Macaca mulatta: one gene and its partners. The protein of the gene in region 1 purifies or fractionates together with the protein of each later gene. This does not show direct contact. Links are inferred from orthologs where the notes say so. Each region holds a gene or a part of one and is shown in the gene's direction. Other genes may lie near its edges. The genes, in order: SSRP1, CHD1, MMS22L, CSNK2A2, SRPK1, TRIM24 and CHD4.

Region 1 (4,065 bases):
TGATCTGCCTACCTCGGCCTCCCCAAGTGCTGGGATTACAGGTGTGAGCCACTGCGCCCAGCCAGGGATGTTTTCGTCTTGTTCAAGTTCCTCAAATCCGAGAAGTGTGCTAAATTAGTCATAGGCCCTCAATATCTATCTATTAAACCCAGTTGAATTTATATTGCTAGATAATGCTGGAATAGCCACTACTCAGAGGTTAAAGCTATGAATTCAGGGGAGAAGGGTGCATTCCTGTTGTCTCTTACCTCAGGATTGAGTTAGCAAGCTGGTGTACTGATTGTCAGGGAAATCTTGAGTTTACATATTCTGTACTAATGTCTTCATGTAGGACACATATCATCAATCATTCTGAACATACAGTCACTGTGATTATGACAGAAGATAACTGGACTGGTGGTGGTAAGGAGGTCTGTGTCCTAGCCTTGTTGCCAACGCACTGAGACCCTGGGCAACTCACTCCCCTTTGGGTCTCAGTATTCCCATCAGTAAAAAGAGGTTGGGGTAGAAAAACTAAAATATATTTTCCAGGTCTGGTCTCTGATGTTGCAAAAATGCACTCTGGGACTATATGAGGGAGAGCTGGCTTCCGCAACCCCAGGATGATGTGGTTTCAAATCAGTTCTGGCTCCAAAGTGAATCTGATACCAGGACTTGAACTGGATACGGCCATTTGTCAGCCTCTTGGGGGGACCTATACATTTCGGTTAGGGATGTGAAAATTTTGGGTGTAGACGGCGAACTTGACAGGTCAGCCAGAAAGCAGTGCACCCACGGTGACACCAACACCCGCATTCTCTCCGCAGCCAGTGCGAGAGGTCGTTTCTTCCCACAACTGTTCAAATACTTTTCTTCGTGTTCCATCGACTCCTCTCCATGACACAGAAACTATTTTGCAGAGAAACGGGCACGCATCATTTCAACACACACCCCCACCCCATTCCTGTACTAAGCTAAGTCTGATACAATACAACTACACAATTTCTCTTCAGTATCTAGTCTCCACTGAAGAAGTGTCTGTAGTTTCTAAAGAGCCCTACACAAATTTTCTAGGCAGATTCCACCCGGCTGAGAGAGACTTCACGGCAACCACTCTTCCCTCAGGTCCTCCAGAGTCGCTGACGCTCTATGCGACTGTCTCGCAGGCGGGCCGGGCTCGCGTCTCTCTAGCCAGCTCGTCGTCTCTGTGGCCTGTGCACGGCTTCCGGTGGCGGGACGCGGGGCCGCGCACGCGGGAAAAGCTTCCCCGGTGTCCCCCCCATCCCCCGCCCCACCGCGTCCCCCCAGCGCGCCCACCTCCTGCGCCGGGGCCCTCGCGAGGCTGCAGCCTGAGGAGGTAGGTGGTGGTCGTCCCCCGGTCCCAGGAAGGCAGGGGCGCCCCTCCCCCAAGGGACGCTCGACATGGACCATTCCGCGTTCGAAACCGCGGGGAGCGGGCGAATCCATCCTGTGGGGCGGGGGTGAACCGGAGGCCCGCGGGGTGGTGGGAGCGCTGCGAGGGAAACCCTGCACTCTGAGCTGGATTGGGGCGCGTGCGAGGTGCGGGCTCCGGGCTGACCCTGGGGTTCCGCTGCTCGTTGCCATGGCTCCCGCCAGAGCGGCTAGAGCGGGCATCGGGTTGGGTGTCAGCGGTATTCCAGGCCCGGTTCTCCACCTGGGCTTAGGCCTGGACCCTCGAGCGCTGCAGCGTCCGTCTGTAGGTTTCCAGGCAGAGGAAATCCTGAGACATCCCAGGCGCAGTTGGGAGTTGCTGCTGTGCTCCATCCGTGAGCACAGCGAGGTGCTGTCTTTCATGCTTATCTGTCTTCCTCTTGAATTTAGATTCCCAACCTGCTGAGCATCCGCCCACCCACTCAGGAGTTGGGGCCCAGCCCCCAGTTTACTCGGTTTCCCTTGTGCAGCCTGGGGCTCTGCCCAGGCCACCACAGGCAGGGGTCGACATGGCAGAGACACTGGAGTTCAACGACATCTATCAGGAGGTGAAAGGCTCCATGGTGAGAATGGCTTGGGCAGTTGATACAAGTAGAGAGAAGGAAGGAGGGTAGAGTTTTTGTCCATTAACGAGAGCTTGCTTTGGTAATGTTATTTTGGAAAAAGAAGACTCAGTATAACGTGTACCTAGTGTCTCCCCCAACACGAGGCAATACTGAGAGATAGTCTCAGAGTTATAGGGACCGTATATGCTCTTCAGTTCCCAATTCCTGTTTTACAAATGAGGAAACTGAGAATCTGTTAAGGATTCTAAATACCAGAGCCTGGTGTGGAATCTAGACTCCTTGCACCTCAGCTGTTGCTCCTGCATTGACAGTCTGCCCAGCCCACTCGCAGCTGGAAAGTGTGTTGGGTAGAACTGGACCCAGGACATGCTGTGTACTGTCCCCATGCATCTGGGCCTGCTTTTCTTACAGAATGATGGTCGACTGAGGTTGAGCCGCCAGGGCATCATCTTCAAGAACAGCAAGACGGGGAAAGTGGACAACATCCAGGCTGGGGAGTTAACAGAAGGCATCTGGCGCCGTGTTGCTCTGGGCCATGGACTTAAACTGCTTACAAAGAATGGCCATGTCTACAAGTATGATGGCTTCCGAGAATCGGTGAGCTGTCCCATAGCTATAAACCCCCTTTTTACTGCATCATCTTGTTTTAATCTTCTAGAGACTCGAGGTTCCTTCCTCATGTAACCCTGTGATTGCTAGTTTGGGCTCCTTAGAGCAGGACTGTGAGGCCATGAGGCAATCAGTGTTCGGCTTTGAGTGTTGAAGTCTTGTGAATTTCTGTGTGCCTTGACTCCAGAAGATTTTCTTCTGTCTTGATTTAGATACTAGTTTCTACCTGTGACTTTTATCAAGGTTCAGGATCTTAGCTTGATGTCTTTTTGTGTTTTTTTTTTTTTTTTTTGAGACAGGGCCTCGCTCTGTCACCCAGGCTGGAGTGCAGTGGCGCAATCTCCGCTCACTGCAGCCTCTGCCTCGTGGGTTCAAGTAATCCTTCCACCTCAGCCTCCTGAATATCTGGTACCACAGGCACATGCCACCATGCCCAGCTGATTTTTCATAATTTTTGGTAGAAATGGGGTTTCGCCACGTTACCCAGTCTGGTCTTGAGCTCTCAGACTCAAGGGATCGCCCACCTTGGCCTCCCAAAGCGTTGAGATTACAGGCATGAGCCATTGCGCCTGGCTAGCTTGATGTCTTAAAGTGTGGGTTTCCATTTTGAACTGCTTGAGTTAAAGGCTTTATTTGATTTTAATTTCCACTTTCATTAAAGTAATACCTATACAAAGTTTATAAAATCAGATGACCCATAACCAGGAATGTCAGATCCAGTGGCTAGAAGCAACCTCTCTAAACCATCTTTTAAACAATGTTAGAGCTGGGTTGCTAAGTCATCATGAGTTTCTTTTTTTTTTTTTTTTTTTTGAGACGGAGTCTTGCTCTGTCGCCCAGGCTCTAGTGCAGTGGCGCGATCTCGGCTCACTGCAAGCTCTGCCTCCTGGGTTCACACCATTCTCCTGCCTCAGCCTTCCGAGTAGCTGGGACTACAGGCGCCCACCACCTCGCCCGGCTAATTTTTTGTATTTTTAATAGAGACGGGGTTTCACCGTGTTAACCAGGATGGTCTCAATCTCCTGACCTCGTGATCCACCCGCCTCGGCCTCCCAAAGTGCTGGGATTACAGGCGTGAGCCACCACGCCCGGCAGCAAGAGTTTCTTATAAAGCCTATTTGGGACAGTTTCTCAGAAATAGATAATCCCAGGACATTCAAGTCGGTGTTAAGGCCACCAGGGTTTACTGGGATTGCGTTTTCTTCCCTCCACCCACAGGAGTTTGAGAAACTCTCTGATTTCTTCAAAACTCACTATCGCCTTGAGCTAATGGAGAAGGACCTTTGTGTGAAGGGCTGGAACTGGGGGACAGTGAAATTTGGTGGTGAGTCCTGGGGAAGACTGAGGTTTGGGGAGGAAGATAGGGTGAAGGGCTTCAGCCTTTTACTTGTTTTGCTCTTTTCCTTCTGCCACTGTCTCTGGTTTCCTATCTGTTTGCATGTTCATCGTGTGTTTATTG
Region 2 (3,500 bases), on another chromosome or scaffold:
TTAAGCAAGTGTTACAGTAGTTACTATAATGATCTTTTTGTTTTTTGCTTACAATTTTTTTCAATATATTTTTTGACCAAATTTCTTAAAAACAACTGAAATGCAACACTAGTTTTTATTTAAAGATCACTGTAATAAAGTGATGGCCAAAATAGAATGTATATTTGTATTTTATTTGTCTATCAAATATGCCTCATTCTAGCTGATCCTTTTAATAGTATTACTTGTAGGAAATATGAACAGATATTTACTATTCCATTTTACAGAAGGAAAAAAATGGATTCAGTTGAAAAGCATTTTAGGGCTGGAACTGGAGAATGACAGAGGAAACACTAGGACCTGAACTCTAAAAGAGGCACTAATTCTTAGGTTTGTGTAAGTGCTGATGCTTGCCTCAGCTCTGGTGCTTTGTTCAAGATCAGATAGTCATTTGGATGATATAATTAAGACCAGAATCTGGTTCCTGACTAGATTTTTTGGGGGAAAATATGTATATGTATGTGTGTGTGTATATATAGATATTTTTTTAAATTTTATTTAATTTTTTTTAATTTTTTTTTTTTTTTTTTTTTTTTTTTTGAGACGGAGTCTCGCTCTGTTGCTCAGGCTGGAGTGCAGTGGTGCGATCTCCGCTCACTGCAAGCTGTGCCTCCCAGGTTCATGCCATTCTCCTGCCTCAGCCTCCCGAGTAGCTGGGACCACAGGTGCCCGCCACCACGCCCAGCTAATTTTTTTGTATTTTTAGTAGAGACGGGGTTTCACAGTGTTCGCCAGGTTGGCCTCGATCTCCTGACCTCGTGATCCGCCCGCCTCGGCCTCCCAAAGTGTTGGGATTACAGGCGTGAGCCACCGCGCCCGGCCGGAAAATATGTTTTTACAAGGAATTTACTTAGGAACAAAAAGGTACTTTATTAAATTCCCACCTTTTACCCTTATGAGTTAACCTTAGAATGTAGATATGTTCGAGATAGTCTGTGAATTTATGTAAAGGCTAGATGAATTTTCCCCCTTCTGTGGATTTCAGTTCAGTAAGGTACCATTCAATATATTCTCTTAAGTTCATTTTAAAAATATATTTCAAGGTAAATATTTTACCTCTAGTGTACATTTGAATCTTCTAGGGACTACCACCCTCCCTTAGAACTTAACATTCCTTTTCTTTTTGGAGGTATATTTAACAATTACAGTTCTTATGTATTTAAGGTATACAGTTTGATGATTTGATATACACATGCATTATGAAATAATCACCACAGTTTCTGATTAATTACTGATGCCTCTGTTGGAATGGCAAGAGATACCAAGCTGTACCTTATTTATGGTGTTTGATCGTGTTAACTCTTGGGACCATTACATTACTATTATTAAGTGACAGTTACTTTTTAATGCATTATTTAAGACAATTCTTTACAAGCATAATCCGTATTACCTGATGGTATTTCCACTCCCAATTATTAACATACCTGTCCCTTATATGCATAATCAGGATCACAGTATGAATCTGAATCACTTCCTGATTTAATTTATATCTTTGGTGCATTTCAAATTAGGATTGTTTACTGCTTTTCAGTCTAAAGACTATAAAATGAAGTGATCTGGAAGAGAAGTAAAATATAATGTTTAGTTTCACTGGAGTCTTATATGAAGTTTTGAAAAAATACATAGAATTAATATCCTTAAGAGTTTGTTCCATAGAGGGCTGTGTATGTGTGTATGTGTTTCTGTTTGGAGGGAAGGAGTTCCATGAAAAAAACTAAATATTTTCCACCAGACTAATGTAATTTGCCTTTTTTTTAATTCTTCTAGAAACCTATGGATTTTTGTATCTAAGTTTACTGAATTTGATGCAAGAAAATTGCATAAATTATATAAGCATGCTATTAAAAAACGGCAGGAATCTCAGGTAAACTTGCCATTATATTTTTTTCCCTTAATTTATATAATTAAAACCATGAGACATTCTTTTTACAAAGCAATTTGATTAATAAATACAGAATGAATAAGATAAATTTTAAAAATCACCTTTGAACACCACAGTAATAATTGTTGCAGGCAAGATTCACAGAAGGGAGGTAAAGTTAATGGGCAAGAAAATAGGATATTGACAGATCTCTGAAATGTTTATTAATTATAAAGGGAAAATAATAACTTTATAATAGAGAAACTTGCCTGACCCACCTTAAACAAGTGATCAAGGTTAATGTCACCAGTGGTAAGACACATCAGCATTATGAACCCTCTGATACTGAGAAAGGCACATGACTTATGTGGAATTCTTGCCAAAAATATATAAGTGTTATGTGAAAATATCAGACAAGCCCTTCTTGAGGGATATTCTATAAAATAACTGCTACTCTCCAGAAGTATTAACAGCATGCAGTAGACTAAGGAGCTGCCCCAGAGGAAGACATGACAACTTAGTGTAATATGGGCTTCCAAATCGAATCCCCGAGCAGATAAAGAACATGAGTGGAAAAATGTGAAATCTGAATGAAGTCTGTTCTTCAGTTAATAGTGTTATACCAATGTTAATTATTTGGTTTTGATCTTTATACTATGTTTATATAAGATATTAACATTAGGAGAAGCTAGATAAAGGGTATGTGAGAACTCAGTATTTTTGCAACTTTTCTGTTAAGTCAGTTTATTTCAAAGTGAAAAAATATCTTTAAGTCATGGGACAAGTAGTTCATACTTTAAAAATGGAGATCTATAAATGTCATACATGTATATATACACACATATATACATATATGTACACACATAAACATTCTAATACCTTGTTTGAAGACTTCAGTATCAGTATTTTCTAAGAATTATCCTTTTTTGTAAGTTTGTGAAGTCACCTAAAGATTCTTACACATGTGTGCATTTATTTTAGCAAAACAATGATCAAAACAGCAACTTGAATCCTCATGTGATTAGAAATCCAGGTATGTAAGTCTTACTGATTGGGAAAATAAATTAAAAAAAAATTTTTTTTTTAAATATTTGTTTTAAATAAACTAAATGTTAAAGTTGTTACCTTGTTTTTATTTACAAGTACCTTTATATTAAGAAGATACGGTAATTCTGATACATACCTACATTATTATATAAAATGTATTCTCTTAAGCTATCGTTCTTTTTAGTTGATTATCCTTTTAATCATCTTTTTCCCAGTTTCTAGAAATTGTAGAATAACTGCTAAAATGAACAAATATTCTTTTTTATGTAATTTGGAATAGTAATGCATTCTTTCTGTATGACAGCCACAAAAGTATAGTCTGAGAAAGGAATGGGTCCCATATTTTTTAGTTTTTGTCACATTTCAGAATCAAGTGACCCTTTTAAAATAATCCTTAGTACTGCTTTTATACACCATTTATAAATGCTTCAACTGCTTGTATTTGGGAACCAATTTTGTTTTGGCAAGGGTTGAAACGAGTTCTTGTTATCTATCAACTTAAGTTTTTTTTGCCACATATTATTTTTAAGGTCGTTAATAAAAGTTGTACTTA
Region 3 (3,500 bases), on another chromosome or scaffold:
ATCAACATTGTCTATTTTGGTTTCAGGGAAGGTATCAACGCTGCACTGCAAAGCAGACAATATCAGACAGCAGTGTGTACTATTTCTCCATTATGTTAAAGTTTTCATCTTCAGGTAGGATATCAGATGAGTATTTTGATCACTGCATGAATTTCTGTGTGTATTCATATAGACTCTGATTGTTTATTTTATCTAATTATTTTTTAGGTATCTGAAAGTACACAATGCTGAGAGTCATGTTCCTGTCCATCCTTATGAGGCTTTGGAGGCTCAACTTCCCTCACTGTTGATTGATGAGCTTCATGGATTACTCTTGTATATTGGACACCTATCTGAACTTCCCAGTATTAATATAGGAGCATTTGTAAATCAAAACCAGATTAAGGTTCGACTTGTTTCATTTAATTTTTAAATTATCAGCTTTTTCTCCCCACAAGGAATATTCATTCAGGAAGGAGAGAAATTAGTCAAAATTACAGCTCTGCAACCTGACTGCCTGTGTTGAAATTCTTGCCCCCATCCTCCTTTTATTAATTATGTGCTCTTGGGCAAATGACATCTCTTGCCTCAGCCTCCCCATCTGTGTAATTCTTATAACTTACTAGAATCATTGGGAGAATTAAATAAATTAATATATATGAAGTTATTAAAACATAATATTCATTGAATCAGTAGCTATTCTCTTGATTTATGACAGTGTAAATGTCTGAAGATTTTAAAGCAAATGAAATAATCTTTGTTTTCTAAAATTTTTTTATCATATATTGCAGTAAGATTCAAGATCAGCTTATTAAAAAAAACTTCCAAGACCACATCATTGTGTGTATTCTGATTTTTGAGGCCTTTTTGGAAAGTGATTAAGATTGTTTTGACTCTGCCCTTTTTTTCCTTCCTGTGATAATCATTCCTTCTGAAGTTTGGTTTTTAAAAATTTATATTGTTACCATGCCTAGCTTATAGATAAGTAATAGATTCTCCCTATGAAAATGGGAGCTTGTATGAATAACAAATTATGGTAATTCACAGTGAGATTCCCTGAAGTCTCAACCCCTTTCATTATATTTGACTTTACCATTTTGAATAATATTTACTCTTTATGAACATACCTTTGTTAAAATATAAAAACAGCTGAGCATGGTAGCTCATGCCTGTAATCCCAACACTTTGGGTGGCTGAGGCAGGGAGGAGTGCTTGAATCCAGGATTTGAGACCAGCTTGGGCAACATAGCGAGACCCCATCTCTATAAAAAATTAAAAAGTTAGCCAAGGGTGGTGGCACATACCTTGTAGTCTTAGCTACTCAGGAGGTTGAGGTGGGAGGATCAGTTGAACTCAGGAGGTCGAGGCTGTGGTGAGACATGACTGCACCACTGCATTCCAGCCTGGATGACAGAGCAAGACCCTATTTCAATAAATAAAATAAATAGAATTAAATGTTTACATGTTTCTGTGAAATGTAGCAGAAACAAGTTGACTTTTTTATCAGAGATCAATATATGTAATAATAAAAGCAAATAAAGTTCTAACTGAATTTACAAGTTAGTATAACTAATCCATAGAAAACAAATAGGTAATTGCTTTTAATTATGTCATTTAATAAAAAGATTCATGAGTAGATTGTTGAAGGAGGGATGTTTTCCTTATTAGTTTCTGTAAATTGGACTGGTTTTTATTTTCTAGTTATCCATCGAATACATAAGAAATAAAAATGAATAATTTATGTGGCAGCAGAAATAAAATTTGTGCACTAGGGTCCTCAAACTAGATATTGCCTTTCATAGGCTTTTTAATTAGGCAGACTTGAAAAGATAGGTTATTTGAAGCTCAGAAGACTAAAGTTTTAAAGCAAGGGAACTTTATAGTCTTCAAAAAATAAAAAATCACCCACTAAAATACTGTTCTTTTCTGAAACAAAAACATAATAGAAAGCATCTTTCAAGACTATGTTTATATATTTGTTATAACAATCTTGTATAGGAAATGTTTTGTTTTCATTGGTATTTCCAGTTGAGCTTCTTTTATTATTTTTTAGGAACTCTAGATATATGTTAGTTATTGGGAATTATGTATTGCAAATATTTTATTTACTTTTTCATTAAGTAAGCTGACTTTCTAGGTAGATTTGAATTTTTTAGATAGTTATATTTTTCCATTTTTTGTTTTATCTATGCTGTTAAAATATTTTGATTGTTGCTTTTATCTCTTTAATTCGTGTTATTTTTAAGTATGCACTGAGGTGAGAAGTCTAACTTCAGTTTCTTGCAAATGCATAAGTTAAAACTCTTATTTTTTATTGAATGACCCATACTTTTCCCATTGATTTGAGATGCCACATAAATTCATTTCTGTCTTCTCTGTTCTTGCTCTTTGTTATCTATTTCTGTCCCAATACGGTTTTGTCAGTGTAGCATTTTATTTTGTTTGTATACCTAATAACGCAGGTCTACTCTTCATCATTCTATTTGTTTTAATGGAACATGTTACGTCATTTTTTTTTTATAGTATTTATTTTTATAGTGATGCTAAATTCTGACAGGAGGAAGGTTAGTGATAACCCAGTATAACACAGTACTTGAAAGTGCTGGGTTTTGACTCAGATAGAATTGAGTTTGAATCCTAATACATGAATTGAGAGAGAAATTTTTTCACCTCTTTTTACTTCTGTTCCTTAATGAGATGACAGTAATGTCTACATGACAGTCTAAAGTTCTTTTGTTAAAATATTTTATAGGAGTTCCTAGGTACTCATACATTAAAAAAAATTTCCTAGCTAAATTCTAAAACAAAATTATGAAAACACGTGTTTAAAAAAATTCTTTTACTGCCTTGCAGCTATAGTAGAATCAGAGGTTGGCTGGAAGGTACCTTTACTATACAAGTCTATTCAGCAGCCCCAAAGTGGGTTTGTCTTAAACCAACAGATGAAAATATTTACTGCTTTCAAAGATCTTCAGTGAAGGAATCCTTTAATGAACAAGACAGAGGTTTTCCCTGAGCTTTTGAATAGTGGTAGGTTAATTGGTTCTTTATCCTTGTGTTTATGGAGGAGTATTGTGACATGCTATGAAACACCTTGTAAAATATTAATGAATTCTCAATCACAGTTGATAATGTCATCCACAGCTTTTTCCACCATCATGGCATTTATTACATCTCCACTTGGATATACATTGGCTGGTGCTAGAAATTCTTTACATGCTGGGTGAAAAATTGAGTAAGTTTATGGATTTATGATTTATATTCTTTTTAAAAGCTTTTATTGCTTTTTAAAATTACGTAAGTAATAAGTGCCTTCTGATATTTAAAAAAAATCAAATAGTAAACAAAGTAAGAAGTAAAAGTTTTACTCCTTTTTTTCCAGAGGTAACTACTGGGAACACCTTGATTTATCTTTCCATATTTACATTCTATCTGTTAGTATACATATTTCCATTCTATCTGTTAGTATCTATATAAAAACTCATAGGTAAAATTTTGTTTTTGTTTTTAACCACAGATAT
Region 4 (3,940 bases), on another chromosome or scaffold:
TTGAGTAATTGTCCTAAGGTCACACAGCTTCTAAGTAGCAGTGCTGGATAGATCTGACTCTACAGTCTGTGCTCTTAGCTGTGTCAAGGAGGAAGGCCCAGGATTTCATCTAGAAAACAGACTGTGAAAAGGGATTGGAATGAGAGCAACCTGCACTGGGTGCAGAGGTCCTGTCGATAAAGGATGCAGGATGGGAAAGGAAGACAAAGGAAGGGCCTAGAAGGTCCAAGGAGAAGGGTGTTCAGGGCTGCAAGCAACACTGGAAGCCAGGCCAGTTCAGTTGACCACCTACCCTGGTGCATCCCCAATCCCTGCTGTCCCTTCAGGTCGGATTTGCAATTCTGCTCTCCCTCCTCCTAAACACAAACAGGAGATTTACACACTCAAAGTCTCTCCCCACAAATAACTAACTAATCACAAAGGGAAAAATTGTAACTTTGCAGTGGCACAACCTGGCCGACGCCAGCTTAACCAAGTGACCAAAGTGGATATTCAGGGAAGGCTCTGGAAGGGCATTTGGGGGAAGCGTGGAAAGGTTTTGTGAGGACTCTGAATGACGGGGGTGGGAAGCTTTGGGGACTGAGGAGTCTACCCTAACAGGGCAGGGTCCAGAGGGGGAAGGAGGGGTATGTCTCCGGGAAAAGGAGAAGTATTGAGGTGGGAGAGGTTCTGAGGTTTGAGCGAGGCCCTGGGGAGGGACTTGACAGTTTGGGTGACAGGAGGGTCAGAATAGGGTCAGTATGGGAGGTGTCGGGTGGGTAAAAGCTGGGTGAGTGCAGGGCTAGGGGTAGGGTCTCCAAGGACAGTGAAAGGGTCGGGACTCGCGGGCGAGGGCTCTAGGGCAACGGCCAGTGGAAGGGGGGCTCCTGTGGCGTGAAGTCAGGCCAGCCCGAGGGTGAGGCGATTTGGACCGTCCGACCTGGGGCGACGGGAGGGCGAGGGTGCGGGACGGTGCGGGAGGGCGCGAGGTAGGCGGCGGGGCGTGCCGGGGCGGGGCCGGGGCGGGGCCGGCACCGCCCGGCGGGTCCCCCCGCGCTCCAGGGGGCGCTGTGAGCCTGGGCGGTCCCAGGCCGGGCGGCGGCCGCTCCCAGCGAGCGCGGCCCCTTTTCCGGGTTTCCTCCGCCTCCTCCTTCTCTCCTCCTTCTTCTCCGCTGCCGCGGCCGCTGCCCCTTTCCCGGCCGGTGGCTGCCACTGCCGGTGCCGCCGCCGCCACTGCCGCCGCCTCCTGGGGGCCGCGAGCCGAGCGGAGACCGCCGCGGATCGCGAGCGCCGCCCGCCCCGCCGCCCCGCCGGCCGCTCCAGGGCCGGGCCGGCTCGGCCGGCGCCCCCCGCGCCCCCAGCCCGCCCGCCCCCGCGGGCCCGGCCTGGCGCGGCCGCCCGCCGCCGCGTTCCTCCTCCTCCTCCTCCAGCGCCCGGCGGCCCGCTGCCCCCTCCGCCCGCCGCCCCGCGCCCTCCGCCGCGTCGCCGCCGCCACCCTCTGCGCCCCGCGCCGCCCCCCGGTCCCGCCCGCCATGCCCGGCCCGGCCGCGGGCAGCAGGGCCCGGGTCTACGCCGAGGTGAACAGCCTGAGGAGCCGCGAGTACTGGGACTACGAGGCTCACGTCCCGAGCTGGGGGTAAAGCCGCCGCCGCCCCCCGCCGGGCCCGCTGACCCCTGCCCCCGCCCGGCCACCCCCTGCGAACCGCACTCGGGCCCGGTGGTGTCTCCCGCCGACCCCTCCGCGGGCCCGCAGGGAGGCAGAGGTCCAGCTCTCGCACATGTCCTCGTCTTCCTCTTCCCTCCCCTTGTCCCTTTCTCCCCGCTTTGCGCACCTCTTTCCCCCAAGGAATGCTTTTTTACTCGGGGAGAAGTGTGGGGTCCAGGGATCGACGCCCGGTAAAAGTGAGGGAGTAGCCCTTCCTCACGCTTCTGGGTTTCCACTGGGGTGGGAAGTCAACAGCTGTCCTTTGGAGCTATTAAAATTCCCTGCCTTTTCGGTTTTCTGAGATGAGGTGGTGGGAGGAAATTTCTTAAAGACGTCCAGTTTTTTAAAACAGGCACTGTCTACCCTCAGGGTGTGAAACGGGAAGCAGGTGCTGGGGAGCCGCGGGGCACAGGGGGCACCCTCTAGGCCTTCAGGACGGGTGCTTTGCTCAGCCCTCTGGATTGGCTCAGAGCGTTGCCTTCCTGCCCCATCTTTCCAAGTTAGGAGAGACCAATTAGGTTAGGAGCTCTGCAGAGTGAAGGGAGCCAAGATTACGTCGTGGCTTTCATTTAGGGAATGAGTTGTGACGTGATGTATAGACACTTCCAAGTGTTTGCCTGTTGGAAGCGGCTGAATGACGTATACAGTGAGCATAGGCTTGCTTAGATTAACCCCCAGTCCTGGCATTTATGTGTGTGTCTTCCTTTTACAGTAATCAAGATGATTACCAACTGGTTCGAAAACTTGGTCGGGGAAAATATAGTGAAGTATTTGAGGCCATTAACATCACCAACAATGAGAGAGTGGTTGTAAAAATCCTCAAGGTGAGTGTCCTATGAGTGGTATGTAACATTTTTCCCCCCACAGGGCAGAAGGTTGTAAGCTACCCCAGTCACGTTCTAGAATGGGCAATGCAAGCTTGAATTTAATTTAATTTATTTATTTAGAGTCAGAGTCTCACTCTGTCACCCAGGCTGTAGTGCAGATCATAGTTCACTGCAGCCTTCAACTCCTGAGCTCAAATGATCCTCCCATCTCACCCAAGTAGCTGAGACTACAGGTGCATGCCACCACGCCCAGTTATTTTTAAAATTTTTTTGTAGAGTCAGGGTCTGGTCAAGTTGCCCAGGCTGGTCTTAAACTCCTGAGCTCAAGCAGTCCTCCAAAAGGACTCCTTGCAGGCCTCCTAAAATTGCTGGGTTTACAGGCATAAGCCGCTGTGCCCAGCCCACGCTCAGATTTTATTTATCTGATGTCCCTTCATTACTTCTTTTTCCACCCCATTTTGCTGTGAACTTTCAAGAAAATGTGCAGACTGGTCACAGATCTTAGTTCAAATCTAAGTTCAGGAAGGTGTTTGTTCTAAAAAGTAAATTGCCTAAAGCAAAAATTCCTAAAGGGCTCCATTTGTTAGAAAATAAATAGGTATTCAAAAGACAGGAAAGCCATTCTCAATTTAAGGGCTCCCTGAGCACTGTGTTTGTTAGTCTTGGTGCATGCTCTCCGTTGTTCCAGAAAGAAAGTTGGAAAAAATTGGAGCGACTTCAGAAATGTATGTCAAACCCAAGTGGAAGGAAATTCCTTAGCAGATAATCACTTGCTTTTTTTTTTCCTTTGGCAGTAAAGTTTCAGGTGGGATGGATATAGTGCGCCAGTAGTGCTGAGAAGCCTTGTTGGGAAGCCAGAGAGCCATTGTTGCTTATCAGCTAGTAAAAATGTAGAAGAATTCACGTATTATTACTAAAGCAATAATTGGAACAAAACGATTTTAATATATGGTTTAGCAATCAGTTTGATAATGATATGTCTTTTGTTATCTCTTCCATGAAGATGATTTTAATGAGCATGAAGGGTCGGCTAAATTTTCCTTCTGGTAACAGATTAATTGTATAGCTTTAATAATGTTTTATAGGCTATAGTAAAAAGTAGTTCTTAGAATCTGTGATGGGTCTTCGTTATTGCCAGATCATTTCATGTGGTTACATGTCATTTAGTGAGAGATTGAGAAGACGGAAGAGTGACGTAAGCACTTTGCATACATGTGATTTCCAGTGTGGCCCTTTTGCAGAGGTTCTGTGGACTAAGAATGTGGAATTGAAAAGCTGTTTCTGTGTGTTAGAGCAGCTGTGTAGGTAATCACTGTTTAATGTGAGGGGTCAGGCTTATGCTTCCTGGTAATCTTTCAGAAAAAATGATTAACTCCATCACTCAAAACATCCTAGCCTAGTGATGAAGAAGCAGAATTGCAGTAAAGAG
Region 5 (3,965 bases), on another chromosome or scaffold:
ATCCAGGCTGCAGTGAGCCGAGATCATGCCACTGTACTCCACCTGAGTAGCAGAGCAAGACTACTCCTCTTTAACCCTCACCTTCCCTTCAAAACCTAACAAAGGCCATGTTTAAATCAATAGAAGAACATTTTATGACATGCGAAAATTATATGAAATTAAAATTTCAGTGTCCATAAATAAATCTTTATAGGAACAAAGTCCATATTTTCTATGACTGCTTTTGAGCTCCAGTGGCAGAGTTGAGTAGCTGAGAAAGAGATCTTATGGTCCACAAAGCCTAAATATTTACTATCTGGCCCAAAGAAAAACTTTGCTGAGCCTGCTATACAATAAGGGCTTGATGATTAAATAACTGGGTCGTACACCAAGATTCTGAACATATAGGCAGGTCCTCTTAAGTTTAGTGTCTTTGTGTAATGGAAGGAATAACTATTTTGCCTTTAAGTTGCCATAAACATAAAATGAGATAATGCACTTAGAAAAGTAAAAAAAAAAAAAATCTCATAAACAAGACAACTTTATCATGTATTGAAAGTGGTAGAATAAGAAAACATTAAACGTTTTTATTCTCATTTCCCTTTCTTTCCTTTACAGCTTTCATTTAAACTTGAAATTTCAAGAGAAAATTCACTTTTGAAGTTTTTACTTTTCAAGTGATAATAGGGTCACAGGTTCTTTCCTTCCAGTCTTTCTGTGTTGCTCCCACTCCCTTTTCTTTCTCACATGTAATTTTTTTCCATTTTCTTTAAATAGCATCTCAACTGGGCTCACAATAGCTCAGGGAAGGAGAAACTGGGACATGCCTGATTAATCCATTTTACAGGCCAGGAAACTGAGGCAGATCCCAATTGCCTCTGAAGCTCTGACTCAGCAGCATGCAGGGAGCCCTGCCGCTCTCTGCGCCTTTTCTAAGCAAATAGAATAAAACTAACCTTGCCAGGTTTCCGAGCTTGGATCTCTAACACTCCTTCAACGTTCACCCCCGACGTTCCTCCTCTCAGCGCCCCCTCCCTCTCCTTGCCGCCCCCTCCTCGGGAGCAGGTGGTAGGCTCCGCTCCCGACGCGCATGCGCGCGGCACGGTGGGGCGGGGGCGGGGCGGGACTGGGGGTGGAGTGTGCGCGGGCTCGGTTTTGGGCCGCGGCGGGAGCTGGAGTCACCGCCACTCGAGTGCGCAGGCGCTTGGCGGTTACCGGTCTCACCATGGAGCGGAAAGGTGAGCGGTGGAGCGGCCTCCGCCACGAGGGGCAACGGCCGCCGGGGCGAGGCCCGGGTCAGCGCCCGGAGCTTCGCCTAACTGCCGCGGTTCGGTCCCCGGGCTTGCGGCGCCCCTCCACTGAGGTGGCGCCGCCCCACACCCCCCGCCTCTGGGCTGCGGGTCCGCGCCCCTCAGCCCGGGCGTCCTCCGGCGCCGGCCGTCGCCGCCCCTTGTTCCCTGCCAGGCCGGCTTGCGCCTTGGGGCCACTCCAGGGCCCGGACCTTGGCGGGCGAGGCAGACCTCCGCCCGCCCGCCCCCTGACCCGGCCTGAGACCCCTCCGGCGCATCCCGCCCGTGCGCTGCTCTGTGCCCCGTGGGCCGCCAGCCCCCCGGCCGGCCGCCTTGCCGAAGCCTCCGCGCTCGTACCGCAGCCGCCCCTGAGACAGGCCCCGCAGCCGGGCCTGGCGCCCCTGCTGGGTCTCCACCCTCACCTTGGTCACCTCCTTTCCTCCACATTTGCCCTTCATCCATCCCTCTCTCCTGCAGTGCTTGCGCTCCAGGCCCGAAAGAAAAGGACCAAGGCCAAGAAGGACAAAGCCCAAAGGAAGTGAGTCTTGTACCCCAACATCCCATTCTTTGGATTTTCCTCCGGCACCTTCTCTGCTCTGGTTTCGCGTCTTGAATGTGCACAGGGTTTGGGCACCCTGTGGCCGCAGCCACATGGCCTCGGGGCAGCTCGGAGGGTCGCTCTCCAGCAACCATGTGGAAGAGAGCTGCTGTTGCTGAACGCCAGGCCTGGGTCTTAGCAGCCCCAGGCCTGCTGGAAAGGGCTGTCGGAGGAGGACCAGAGCCCGCCCGGTACCTTTCCTCCCCAACTCCACAGAGGAGGCACAAACTCCCCTAGCTTGGACCCCCCCCCCACCGGAGCTGGTAGATCATTATCGTTCTGTTTCTGAACTCTGGTCTCTCTCTCTTACCTGCTCCCCAACGTCTTAACTTGCCTCCAACGTCTGCACGGTAGGCCTTAAGGAAATTCTTGAATGAGTTTTTCCGTGTTTACTTTGGGTTCTACCAACCACACACTCCCTTTCATAGAGGAGGGCATGGGGCTTTTCTTTGGGTTAGTCAACTTCCTGAACCTGCAAGGCACATCGGCTTTTTTGCACTGTGCCGGCAGACCGCTGTGTATACAGTCAGTGTCTGTTAACTGCTTCTCTTCTGTCTAAACCTCAATCAAATGCAGATAATCTTCCGGAGTCGGCATCACTATAGTAACGGGAGAGTTCTTTAACACACATCGATGGTTCTGGTTTGGTGTATTAAGCGCCACATGTCCAGTTTTATCAGTGGGATGCATAACAGTATAGTGCTATCGTGGCAAGTTCAAAAGTTGGTCACAGCCTAATAGAAACTCAGGTAGCAGGCTTCATTCAGCAAGTGAGGCTAAGCCTAAAGAACTTTCATCATGTACTAACGTTTAACTGCAAAGGGTCTTGGAAATCAGCTCTTGGAAATCATCTCTCAGAGAGAGATTCTATGCCTAGTTCTTAATTTTAGATGTATTATCTTTATACTTTTAAATTTATTTGATTTTTTTGGCGTTGTATGCGGTCTAATTCCCTCTGAGTTGATACAACACATTTCAAAGGCCTTCCTAGGTCACCCCACTGAATGACAATACCAGATTAAGGGGGGCGTAGGGGTGTGTGTTGTTTTTGGAGGCTACCTACTGTTTGGGGAGAGCACATAATGACTTCTGTCTTTCAATAGAACTAAAGTGGTAGGTGACCTCACCTCTTGCTCCATTTTCTATTCTGTCTTATGAAATGTATTTTGTAAGTGCTTGGTGACGAAGGTTTGTAAATGGTGAGTTTGTGTGTGTCTGTTTGCCTTTGGATTATCCGTATATGGGATTATTCAAAACCATTTTTTAATCCTAGATTGTTTAATAGAAACAGCAAGGTGCTAACTTGGTTCTAGTGTGCAGTAGGAATTGAAATGTTACTTTTCTGTGCCTAGTTGAGTTATTCTTTGTGGAATTGATAAGAATGTGTTAAAACGTTCTTTTCTATTGATACGAGGAAGTTGCGGTTTTTATTATATTACTGTATTTTTTAGAAATCCTGGTCTCTCAGACCATTTGTCCAGATCTCTCTTACCACTTGGAAATTAATTTGAGATTAGCCCAAATCAAGCTATAATTTGAGGGGCAAATGTATATAGGTGATCATATACTTTAAGCACCAGATATCTATTACTTCCGATTATCTATTTAGACTATATGCTTTATTTCTAAAGCCAAATATATGTATATCTGTTACCCCATTCACTACTATGGATAACTTAGAGTTATTTGTGTTGTTAATTGTTTGCAAGTGTGGATTATAGATAACGTAGCAGTCATTTTACTGAATATTTTATCTTGAACAACTTTGACTCCTGAAAATATGCGTGAATGAACTGCCCCATTTACTTGTAATTTCAGAGGTGTTTTATTTTTGATTTTGTTTCCAATTAATACGTTTTTGCTTTTTTTTGTTTTAAATTTACCTTTTTATTCTTTTTCTTTTTGAGGCAAGTTCTCGCTCTGTTGCCCAGGCTGCAGTTTAGTGGTGCGATCTCGGCTCACTGCAACCTCCACCTCCTAGATTCAAGCAATTCTCTTGCCTCAGCCCCCCAAGTAGCTGGGACTATAGGTGTATGCCACTACGCCTGGTTAATTTTTGTATTTTTTGTAGAGATAGGGTTTTGCCATGTTGCCCAGGC
Region 6 (4,084 bases), on another chromosome or scaffold:
ATTCGTATTGAAAAAAAAAAAAAACTTATATACACTTCTTAAAGTTACGTGTTTACAAAAGCTTGTTTCCTCCACTCCGTTTCTATTCTTCAAGTTCCTTAAAAGCTGCTTCATTTTTTGAGTGAAAAATGTGCTTAACTTCTGATATCAGCATAGAGAGGTGAGGGAGGGAGGGAATAAAATAAGAGGGAGGGAAGAAATAAAAAAGAATCTTGAAGTTATGAATTATTTGGGGATCAGTATTGAGGCTTATTTTTACTTAATGATGCTATATTTATGCAATAAAAACATTAGCCAATCTGTATTAATTCCTGGGAAAACGAACCTTTAGTCACTTTAAAAAGCACATCACTGACTTTGAAAATTAACTTCACCTTTTTCATTGGGGAACCCTTTAAAAATTTCCAACTTGCACAAGAACTTCCCTCCCTTATTCTTCATACTCAGTCATTCATTCTAAAGATGAGTAAAATTAGGTTGCAATATCCATGCTGCCTCCAGAGTACCTCTTTCACACAGTATTTTTAGAAAATTATTTCCTTGTTTGCTCTTCAGTACCTCCACTCCTTCCTCCTGTGACCCTCCTACCATATTTACCCCTCCTACAAGACCAGGTCTCCAGTAATGAAACGAGTTTTCCAAGCAGTTACTTAATTAACGGCATAGAGTAGACAAGTGAGGTCCCGCCCCCTAGGAGGAGCTAACACCCCGGACCGAATCAGGCGGATGGTCGATAACAAATGAACCCTCAATCTTTTCAGAGGAGAAAACACACACAAAGGCCCAATCAGAGACCGCGGCTCCAGGAGTCCAGAGGGGGCGGGGCTGGACAAGCACCACCCACTTCCCAACCTCCCGCCGCGGCCGACAGAGCCTCGCGGGCTCCGACAGGTCCCGCCCCCTCGCCAGGCGCGGCTGCTATTGGGCGGCGGGATCCTCGCCGAAGCCTCAGTTGCTGGGAGAGGGAGGGCGGGGGCGGGGCCTGAGGTGGGCTTGGGGAGCGATGAAGAGAAAGGCGGGGAGGTAAGGGCGGGCTGGGCGTATTCGACGAGCGCAGCGGCGGTTGGCGTAGCGGACGGGGTGCAGCCTCCCCGGTGTGAGGAACGGTCTCCGCTGACAGATCCCCTTCTTCCGGCCGCGCCACTCGGGAGGCGGATCCCCTGGGCCTGAGGAGGCTTCCCCCGCCCGGCTTGCTTTCCCTCCCTCCCTGGCGCTGCCGCGAGTCCACCGAGCGGCCTCTGAGGAGCAGCCGCAGGAGGAGGAGGAGGTCGTCGGGGGCGGCGGGCGAAGACCGCGCTCTCGCTTCCCCGGCGGCGGCGGGGGCAGGACAATGGAGGTGGCTGTGGAGAAGGCGGCGGCGGCGGCGGCAGCGGCCTCGGCGGCGGCCTCCGGGGGGCCCTCGGCGGCGCCGAGCGGGGAGAACGAGGCCGAGAGTCGGCAGGGCCCGGACTCGGAGCGCGGCGGCGAGGCGGCCCGGCTCAACCTGTTGGACACTTGCGCCGTGTGCCACCAGAACATCCAGAGCCGGGCGCCCAAGCTGCTGCCCTGCCTGCACTCTTTCTGCCAGCGCTGCCTACCCGCGCCCCAGCGCTACCTCATGCTGCCCGCGCCCATGCTGGGCTCAGCCGAGACCCCGCCGCCCGTCCCTGTCCCCGGCTCGCCGGTCAGCGGCTCGTCGCCGTTCGCCACCCAAGGTGAGAACCGGCTGCGGCCGCGGGGGAGCCCGGGGAGAGGGCCGGGAGGGGGCGGGCGCCCTTGTGCAGCGCGACCCGCTGTCATGTCGCCGCCGCCCGGGGTGCGCGGCGGGGGAGGGGCGAGCAGGAGGGTCTGTGCTGGCGACGGTGACATGGAGGGCCCGCGCTCTGCGGCGTGCTGCGCTCGGCCAGCAACTTCCCCGGGCGCTGTGGACTTGACCGCGCCGCCGCCGCCGCTCCGCGTTCTCTACAGCCGGGCGGCCCCTGCCAGCCGCACTTTTGCAGACCTCTGCGGAGTCTCCTGCAGCCGGAATCTCGGGTTCTTTGCCGCCTGCATCCAGTTAACTGCTTACCCGCCCGCTGCCTCCACAAAGCTTTGTCCAGGTCCATATGATCCTGATCATCTCGTCTATACCCACGTTATTTGAGCTGGAGGGGAGAAGGGAGGGATGAAGATGAAGTGATGGTGACTTTCTTTCATGACTGATTGCAGATCGGATGTCATTTATTTCTTATTTTGCATGTTTGGGGCTCTTTACCTTAATGAGTTCCCAGTTCTTTTCCCTCTCCTCTGCTAGGGACAAAGGAACCAAGAGACGTTGTTTTGTTGTGTGTCTCTTTCAAGGGTTTTATTTTGAGACGGTGAAGAGAAATAATGCAAAGTGATTTGGGGTGCAGGGTTTCCTGGTATTTTATAGATAAAGCTAGAAGTTACTCTTCTCTTTGTGGTGTTTATTACTGTAGAATTAGACTTTTGACAGGTGTTCCCATTGCTCACTTTAACAGGTTTGAAACATTTAAAGTAAGTTTAAGTGGATACGGTTTTGGGTAGAACACTTGGCAGTTTTTAAATTTTATTGCAAATATTTGAGCACCTCTTTTTAAAAAAATACAGTGTAACTGGAAGAGCATTTTTAATACTTTTTAGAGGGAATAGTTGATTTAGTTTGAAATAAAACGCTAATTTTACGCTACGTTAAGGGAAGTGTGAAATGGATACTTTAGATTGTGGTCCGAGACTCATTTATTTAACTGCATGTTAGGCCCAGTATCCACTTGTAGGAGACAGTTTTCCATGCGTGTCCGTTTCTTCACTCTTGCCAGCACCCTTGCCAGGAAGATACTGACTGCCCTTTGTTTCTGTTTTTCACGGATATTATCTAAAGAGCAGCCTTCGATAGTGTCTTCCACCAGAGCAAGAGGCAGGGATACGTATTATCCAGTATAATAAGAATAATGTCTCCCTCTGGAGCGAAAGGGTAGGCATGCTTACTGCCCATCTTAAAAGATTAGGGTTCCCTAAGCTTAGGGTTCCTCTCCTGTAGAGAAGGAACTGCCTGTGTAGATGTCAGCTGGCTCTCTTCACGTTGACCAGTGGGAACCTGGAGTTCCGAGAACTAGTGCAAAAATCTTGATGCTTTGGCTTATGCTGTTCCTGTGAGTAAAAAACAAACTGCCCTGTGTCTCTGACCCTTGAGTGTCTTCTATCACCATCCGTGAAACTGGTAAGGTTGTTAGCTTGCAAGTTGAACAAACTCTCAGATCCTTCACACTAGTTTGCTCTGAAGAGGCCCACTACTGGAAAGTTCGAACAGGTGAAAGCTTAAACCTTAGTTCTTGTTTCTTTGTTTATTTTGAGACGGAGTGTCGCTCTTGTTGCCCAGGCTCAAGTGCAATGGTGCGATCTTGGCTCACCGCAACCTCTGCCTCCCGGGTTCAAGCGATTGCCCTGCCTCAGCCTCCCGAGTAGCTGGGATTACAGGCATGCGCCACCACGCCCGGCTAATTTCGTATTTTTTTTTTTTTTTTTGGTAGAGATGGAGTTACTCCATGTTGGTCAGGCTGGTCTCGAACTCCCGACTTGAGGTGATCCGCCCACCTTGGCTTCCCAAAGTGCTGGGATTACAAGTGTGAGCCACCGTATCCCGCCTGTTCTTATTTCTTAGACGCATTTTAAGGTTGGTTTTTCCTTCCTCCCTGCCTACCTTCCTACCTTCCTACCTCGCTTTGTCCTTCAGGCTGGAATGCAGTAGCACGATCTCAGCTCACTGCAACCTCCGCCTCCCGGGTTCAAGCAATTCTTGTGCCTCAGCCGGGCGCCACACCCGGCTAATTTGTGTGTGTGTTTTTTTTTAGTAGCGATGGAGTTTTGCCATTTTGGCCAGGCTGGTCTTGTACTCCTGACCTCAGGTGATCCACCTGCCTTGGCCTCGCTAAATGCTGGGATTACAAGCATGAGCCACCCCGCCCGGCCTCTTCCATTTATATTTTAAATGGTTAAACAGGCTAGTAGCCAATTAAGATCTGAATTGTGCATTATTATAGAATTAAGATATATTGTTTGCCTGGCCATGACATACGGACTTGAATTAATGAGAACATGGATCATA
Region 7 (3,500 bases), on another chromosome or scaffold:
GTACCTTTTAAAAAGTATGTAGTGGGAGAAAAAAAGCATAGGTACAGAAAACATCATTCTGTAACTTAGAAACATACATATGAAACAACACAGTCTTTAAAAACCTACACAAAAAGCCACAGTATTACTATATTAGAAAGGTTGCTTTTCAGAGGAATGGAAGTGAGATGGCGATAAGAGGAAATAAAAAACAAAAATATTTTAAAATAGCAAAATAACCCTGTTTTTTTGAGACAGAGTTTCCCTCTGTCATTCAGGCTGGAGTGCAGTGGCATGATCCCAGCTCACTGCAACCTTTGCCTCCCGGGTTCAAGCATTCTTCTGCCTCAACCTCTTGAGCAGCAGCAGTTACAGGTGTGCACTACCATACCTTGCTAATTTTTGTGTGTTTAGTAGAGATGGGGTTTTGTCATGTTGGCCAGGCTGGTCTTGAACTCCTGACCTCAAGTGATCTGCCCATCTCAGCCTCCCAAAGTGCTGGGATTACAGGTGTGAGCCACTGTGCCCAGCCAAAACGTGTTTTTGAAGAGTAGTTGATAAAGAGTAGATGATAAAAAGGAAAATGTTTAACTGTAACTAAATGAAAACATAATATGGATATGTATATAGTATGATCTCAGTTATGTAAAAAACTATGCACAAAAAAACCTAAAAAAAAATCAGGATATATTTCTAGAAGGTGGGATCATCTGTTGTTAATTTTTGATATTCTATTTTCTAAATTGAGTTTTTATTGCTTTTGTATAAGAGAATCTAAAGGGTAAAGAGTTTTAAAAACGAGGACATTGAAAAAGGGAAAGAAAAAAGATACAAGGCAAAGTTAAACTGCTTGGGTGTGGGAATGAGCTGTCCATGAAGTTATTTATAGGTTCTTATTACTATCAGAAACAATGAGAGGTGAGCTGAGAGGCCAGTCAGAAGTAAGCAAAGTGAGTTATCAGTCGAACTCCCGTTTCCTTTTATCCCTTGTCCAGCTCTTAGAACAAGCTCTGGTGATTGAGGAACAGCTGCGCCGGGCTGCTTACTTGAACATGTCAGAAGACCCTTCTCACCCTTCCATGGCCCTCAACACCCGCTTTGCTGAGGTGGAGTGTTTGGCGGAAAGTCATCAGCACCTGTCCAAGGAGTCAATGGCAGGAAACAAGCCAGCCAATGCAGTCCTGCACAAAGGTAGCCAGTGGCTCCCCTGCCTCCTGCTGATTAGGCCTCCTCCCTCATCTAACTGCATCCCAATGTACATATATTTGTTTTCAAACCTTTTTCAGAGCTCCTTTGAGAGTTTAGGAGTTGGTAGGGACCTTTGCCATCCTTGGGGAGTTAATATGTTAGAGGCAATCAAGGACAGTAGTTCTTTGCCTCTTTTTTTTTTTTTTTTTCTTTTTTCTTTTTAAGAGGTGGGCTCTTGGCTGGGCGCGGTGGCTGACGTCTGTAATCTCGGCACTTTGGGAGGCCAAGGTGGGTGGATCACGAGGTTAGGAGTTCGAGACCAGCCTGGCCAACATGGTGAAACCCCGTCTCTACTAAAAATAGCAAAATTAGCTGGGCATGTGGCACATGCCTGTAATCCTAGCTGCTCAGGAGGCTGAGGCAAGAGAATCGCTTGAAACCAGGAGGTAGAGTTTGCAGTAAACCAAGATCGTGCCATTGCACTGGCTATCAGCCTGGGCAACACAGTGAGACTCCGGAAAAAAAAAAAGAGATGGGCTCTCAACATTTTGCCCGGGTGGGTCTTGAACTCCTGGACTCAAGTGATCCTCTTGCCTCAGCCTCCTGAGTAGCTGGAACTACAAATATGTGCCACTGTACCCGGCCACCTTTTTTTTTTTCTTTTTGAGATGGAGTCTAGCTCTTGCCCAGGCTGGAGTGCAATGGCGTGATCTTGGCCCACTGCAGCCTCTGCCTCCTGGGTTCAAGCAATTATCCTGCCTCAGCCTCCCGAGCAGCTGGAACTATAGGCATGCGCCACCACTTGCGGCTAGTTTTTGTATTTTTAGTAGAGATGGGGTTTTACCATGTTGGCAAAGCTGGTCTCAAACTAACTTCAAGTGGTCTACCTGCCTCTGCCTCCCAAAGTGCTGGCATTATAGGCGTGAGCCACCATGCCCCGCCCTGGCCACCTTTTTTTTTTTTTTTTTTTTTTTTTTTTTTTTTTGAGGCGGAGTTTTGCTCTTGTTGCCCAGGCTGGAGTGCAGTGGCGTGATCTCGGCTCACTGCAACCTTTGCCTCCCAGGTTCAAGCGATTCTCCTGCCTTAGCCTCCTGAGTAGCTGGGATTACAGGCATGCACCACCATGCCCTGCTAATTTTGTTTGTTTTTTTGTTTGTTTTTTGAGATGGAGTTTTGCTCTTGTTGCCCAGGCTGGAGTGCAATGGCGTGATCTCAGTTCACCACAACCTCCGCCTCCCGGGTTCAAGCGATTCTTCTGCCTCAGCTTCCTAAGTTGCTGGGATTACAGGCGCCCGCCACCATGCCCGGCTAATTTTTTGTATTTTTAGTAGAGATGGGGTTTCACCATGTTGGCCAGGCCGGTCTCAAACTCCTGACCTCAGATGATCCACCTGCCTCTGCCTCCCAAAGTGCTGGGATTACAGGCATGAGCCACCACGCCCGGCCCCACCTCTTTTAACTTTAAATATATTCAGGTTCTTGAGATGGAAAGCAAAGCAGAATAATATAGTGTCATTTGGGATACTTTAGAGGTAACTTCAGGTGATAAAAGATCCCTTCAAATTCTAGACCCCTTTCAGCGTTTTGTTTCTAATTAAAGTAAAAGGTTATGAGGAGGCGGAGGGTGAAATAAGGAAAAGAATGCTGTTATAATGGAGGTGGGAGACAGATTCTGAAGGTAGAGAAGAGAAAAAACAGGAATAAGCTTCTCAAGAAGAGGAAATACAATAATAGTAAGGGATAGTGAAGGTTTAGGTGACTTTTAAGAGCACAAAATCATGAACAGTTGGAACTGGAATATGAGGAGCAGGAATTTGAACATGGTGGAGGTCAGGTCAGGTGACAGAAGATAACACATCACAGTCACTTGGTCACTGAGAAGAGATGCTGGTCCACTAGGGTAGAGGGACCTCAGTCTTGGCCACCACAGCTCACCACCTCTTTTTCTCCCTTTGCAGTTCTGAAACAGCTGGAAGAACTGCTGAGTGACATGAAAGCCGATGTGACTCGACTCCCAGCTACCATTGCCCGAATTCCCCCAGTTGCTGTGAGGTTACAGATGTCAGAGCGTAACATTCTCAGCCGCCTGGCAAACCGGGCACCCGAACCTACCCCACAGCAGGTAGGACCATTTTCTTCTTGACACCACCTCTTCCTGCAGAACCATTCTGGAGCTTGTAACTTTGTTGTATGTTCCTAGCTTTACATACTGGGTGGGTAGGCTGTCAGTGAATTCCCTTGAGATTGGGTGGATTCCTATCATCTGGAATTCTGACTCCTTGGGTCTCCTTCTCTAGGTAGCCCAGCAGCAGTGAAGATGCAGACTGATAACA

Evidence for each region.
Region 2: the proteins of SSRP1 (region 1) and CHD1 purify together in Homo sapiens (affinity purification with mass spectrometry; 3 studies listed by BioGRID and IntAct, with this or other methods). This does not show direct contact. The link is inferred for Macaca mulatta from reciprocal best matches to the Homo sapiens genes SSRP1 and CHD1.
Region 3: the proteins of SSRP1 (region 1) and MMS22L purify together in Homo sapiens (affinity purification with mass spectrometry; 3 studies listed by BioGRID and IntAct, counting the BioPlex papers as one, with this or other methods). This does not show direct contact. The link is inferred for Macaca mulatta from reciprocal best matches to the Homo sapiens genes SSRP1 and MMS22L.
Region 4: the proteins of SSRP1 (region 1) and CSNK2A2 purify together in Homo sapiens (affinity purification with western blotting; 3 studies listed by BioGRID and IntAct, with this or other methods). This does not show direct contact. The link is inferred for Macaca mulatta from reciprocal best matches to the Homo sapiens genes SSRP1 and CSNK2A2.
Region 5: the proteins of SSRP1 (region 1) and SRPK1 fractionate together in Homo sapiens (co-fractionation; 3 studies listed by BioGRID and IntAct, with this or other methods). This does not show direct contact. The link is inferred for Macaca mulatta from reciprocal best matches to the Homo sapiens genes SSRP1 and SRPK1.
Region 6: the proteins of SSRP1 (region 1) and TRIM24 purify together in Homo sapiens (affinity purification with mass spectrometry; 3 studies listed by BioGRID and IntAct, with this or other methods). This does not show direct contact. The link is inferred for Macaca mulatta from reciprocal best matches to the Homo sapiens genes SSRP1 and TRIM24.
Region 7: the proteins of SSRP1 (region 1) and CHD4 purify together in Homo sapiens (affinity purification with mass spectrometry; 3 studies listed by BioGRID and IntAct, with this or other methods). This does not show direct contact. The link is inferred for Macaca mulatta from reciprocal best matches to the Homo sapiens genes SSRP1 and CHD4.

What each region holds. Positions count from the first base shown.
Region 1 is NC_133419.1:16,070,288-16,074,352, forward strand, and holds the start of SSRP1 (FACT complex subunit SSRP1), read left to right. Parts: upstream 1-1,265; 5' UTR 1,266-1,336; exon of another isoform or gene 1,337-1,539; intron 1,540-1,821; 5' UTR 1,822-1,940; coding exon 1,941-1,994; intron 1,995-2,408; coding exon 2,409-2,594; intron 2,595-3,824; coding exon 3,825-3,930; intron 3,931-4,065. UniProt on the Homo sapiens protein: Component of the FACT complex, a general chromatin factor that acts to reorganize nucleosomes. The FACT complex is involved in multiple processes that require DNA as a template such as mRNA elongation, DNA replication and DNA repair.
Region 2 is NC_133411.1:107,621,279-107,624,778, reverse strand, and holds part of CHD1 (chromodomain-helicase-DNA-binding protein 1), read left to right. Parts: intron 1-1,806; coding exon 1,807-1,903; intron 1,904-2,881; coding exon 2,882-2,933; intron 2,934-3,500. UniProt on the Homo sapiens protein: ATP-dependent chromatin-remodeling factor which functions as substrate recognition component of the transcription regulatory histone acetylation (HAT) complex SAGA. Regulates polymerase II transcription.
Region 3 is NC_133409.1:88,599,676-88,603,175, forward strand, and holds part of MMS22L (protein MMS22-like), read left to right. Parts: intron 1-26; coding exon 27-114; intron 115-207; coding exon 208-385; intron 386-3,123; coding exon 3,124-3,214; intron 3,215-3,500. UniProt on the Homo sapiens protein: Component of the MMS22L-TONSL complex, a complex that promotes homologous recombination-mediated repair of double-strand breaks (DSBs) at stalled or collapsed replication forks.
Region 4 is NC_133425.1:53,802,437-53,806,376, reverse strand, and holds the start of CSNK2A2 (casein kinase II subunit alpha'), read left to right. Parts: upstream 1-1,140; 5' UTR 1,141-1,511; coding exon 1,512-1,615; intron 1,616-2,396; coding exon 2,397-2,508; intron 2,509-3,940.
Region 5 is NC_133409.1:146,332,733-146,336,697, forward strand, and holds the start of SRPK1 (SRSF protein kinase 1), read left to right. Parts: upstream 1-1,165; 5' UTR 1,166-1,204; coding exon 1,205-1,806; intron 1,807-2,176; exon of another isoform or gene 2,177-2,308; intron 2,309-3,965. UniProt on the Homo sapiens protein: Serine/arginine-rich protein-specific kinase which specifically phosphorylates its substrates at serine residues located in regions rich in arginine/serine dipeptides, known as RS domains and is involved in the phosphorylation of SR splicing factors and the regulation of splicing.
Region 6 is NC_133408.1:178,297,887-178,301,970, forward strand, and holds the start of TRIM24 (transcription intermediary factor 1-alpha), read left to right. Parts: upstream 1-1,284; 5' UTR 1,285-1,330; coding exon 1,331-1,694; intron 1,695-4,084. UniProt on the Homo sapiens protein: Transcriptional coactivator that interacts with numerous nuclear receptors and coactivators and modulates the transcription of target genes.
Region 7 is NC_133416.1:7,522,682-7,526,181, reverse strand, and holds part of CHD4 (chromodomain-helicase-DNA-binding protein 4), read left to right. Parts: exon of another isoform or gene 1-197; intron 198-974; coding exon 975-1,170; coding exon of another isoform or gene 1,171-1,173; intron 1,174-3,125; coding exon 3,126-3,289; intron 3,290-3,464; coding exon 3,465-3,482; 3' UTR 3,483-3,500. UniProt on the Homo sapiens protein: ATP-dependent chromatin-remodeling factor that binds and distorts nucleosomal DNA. Acts as a component of the histone deacetylase NuRD complex which participates in the remodeling of chromatin.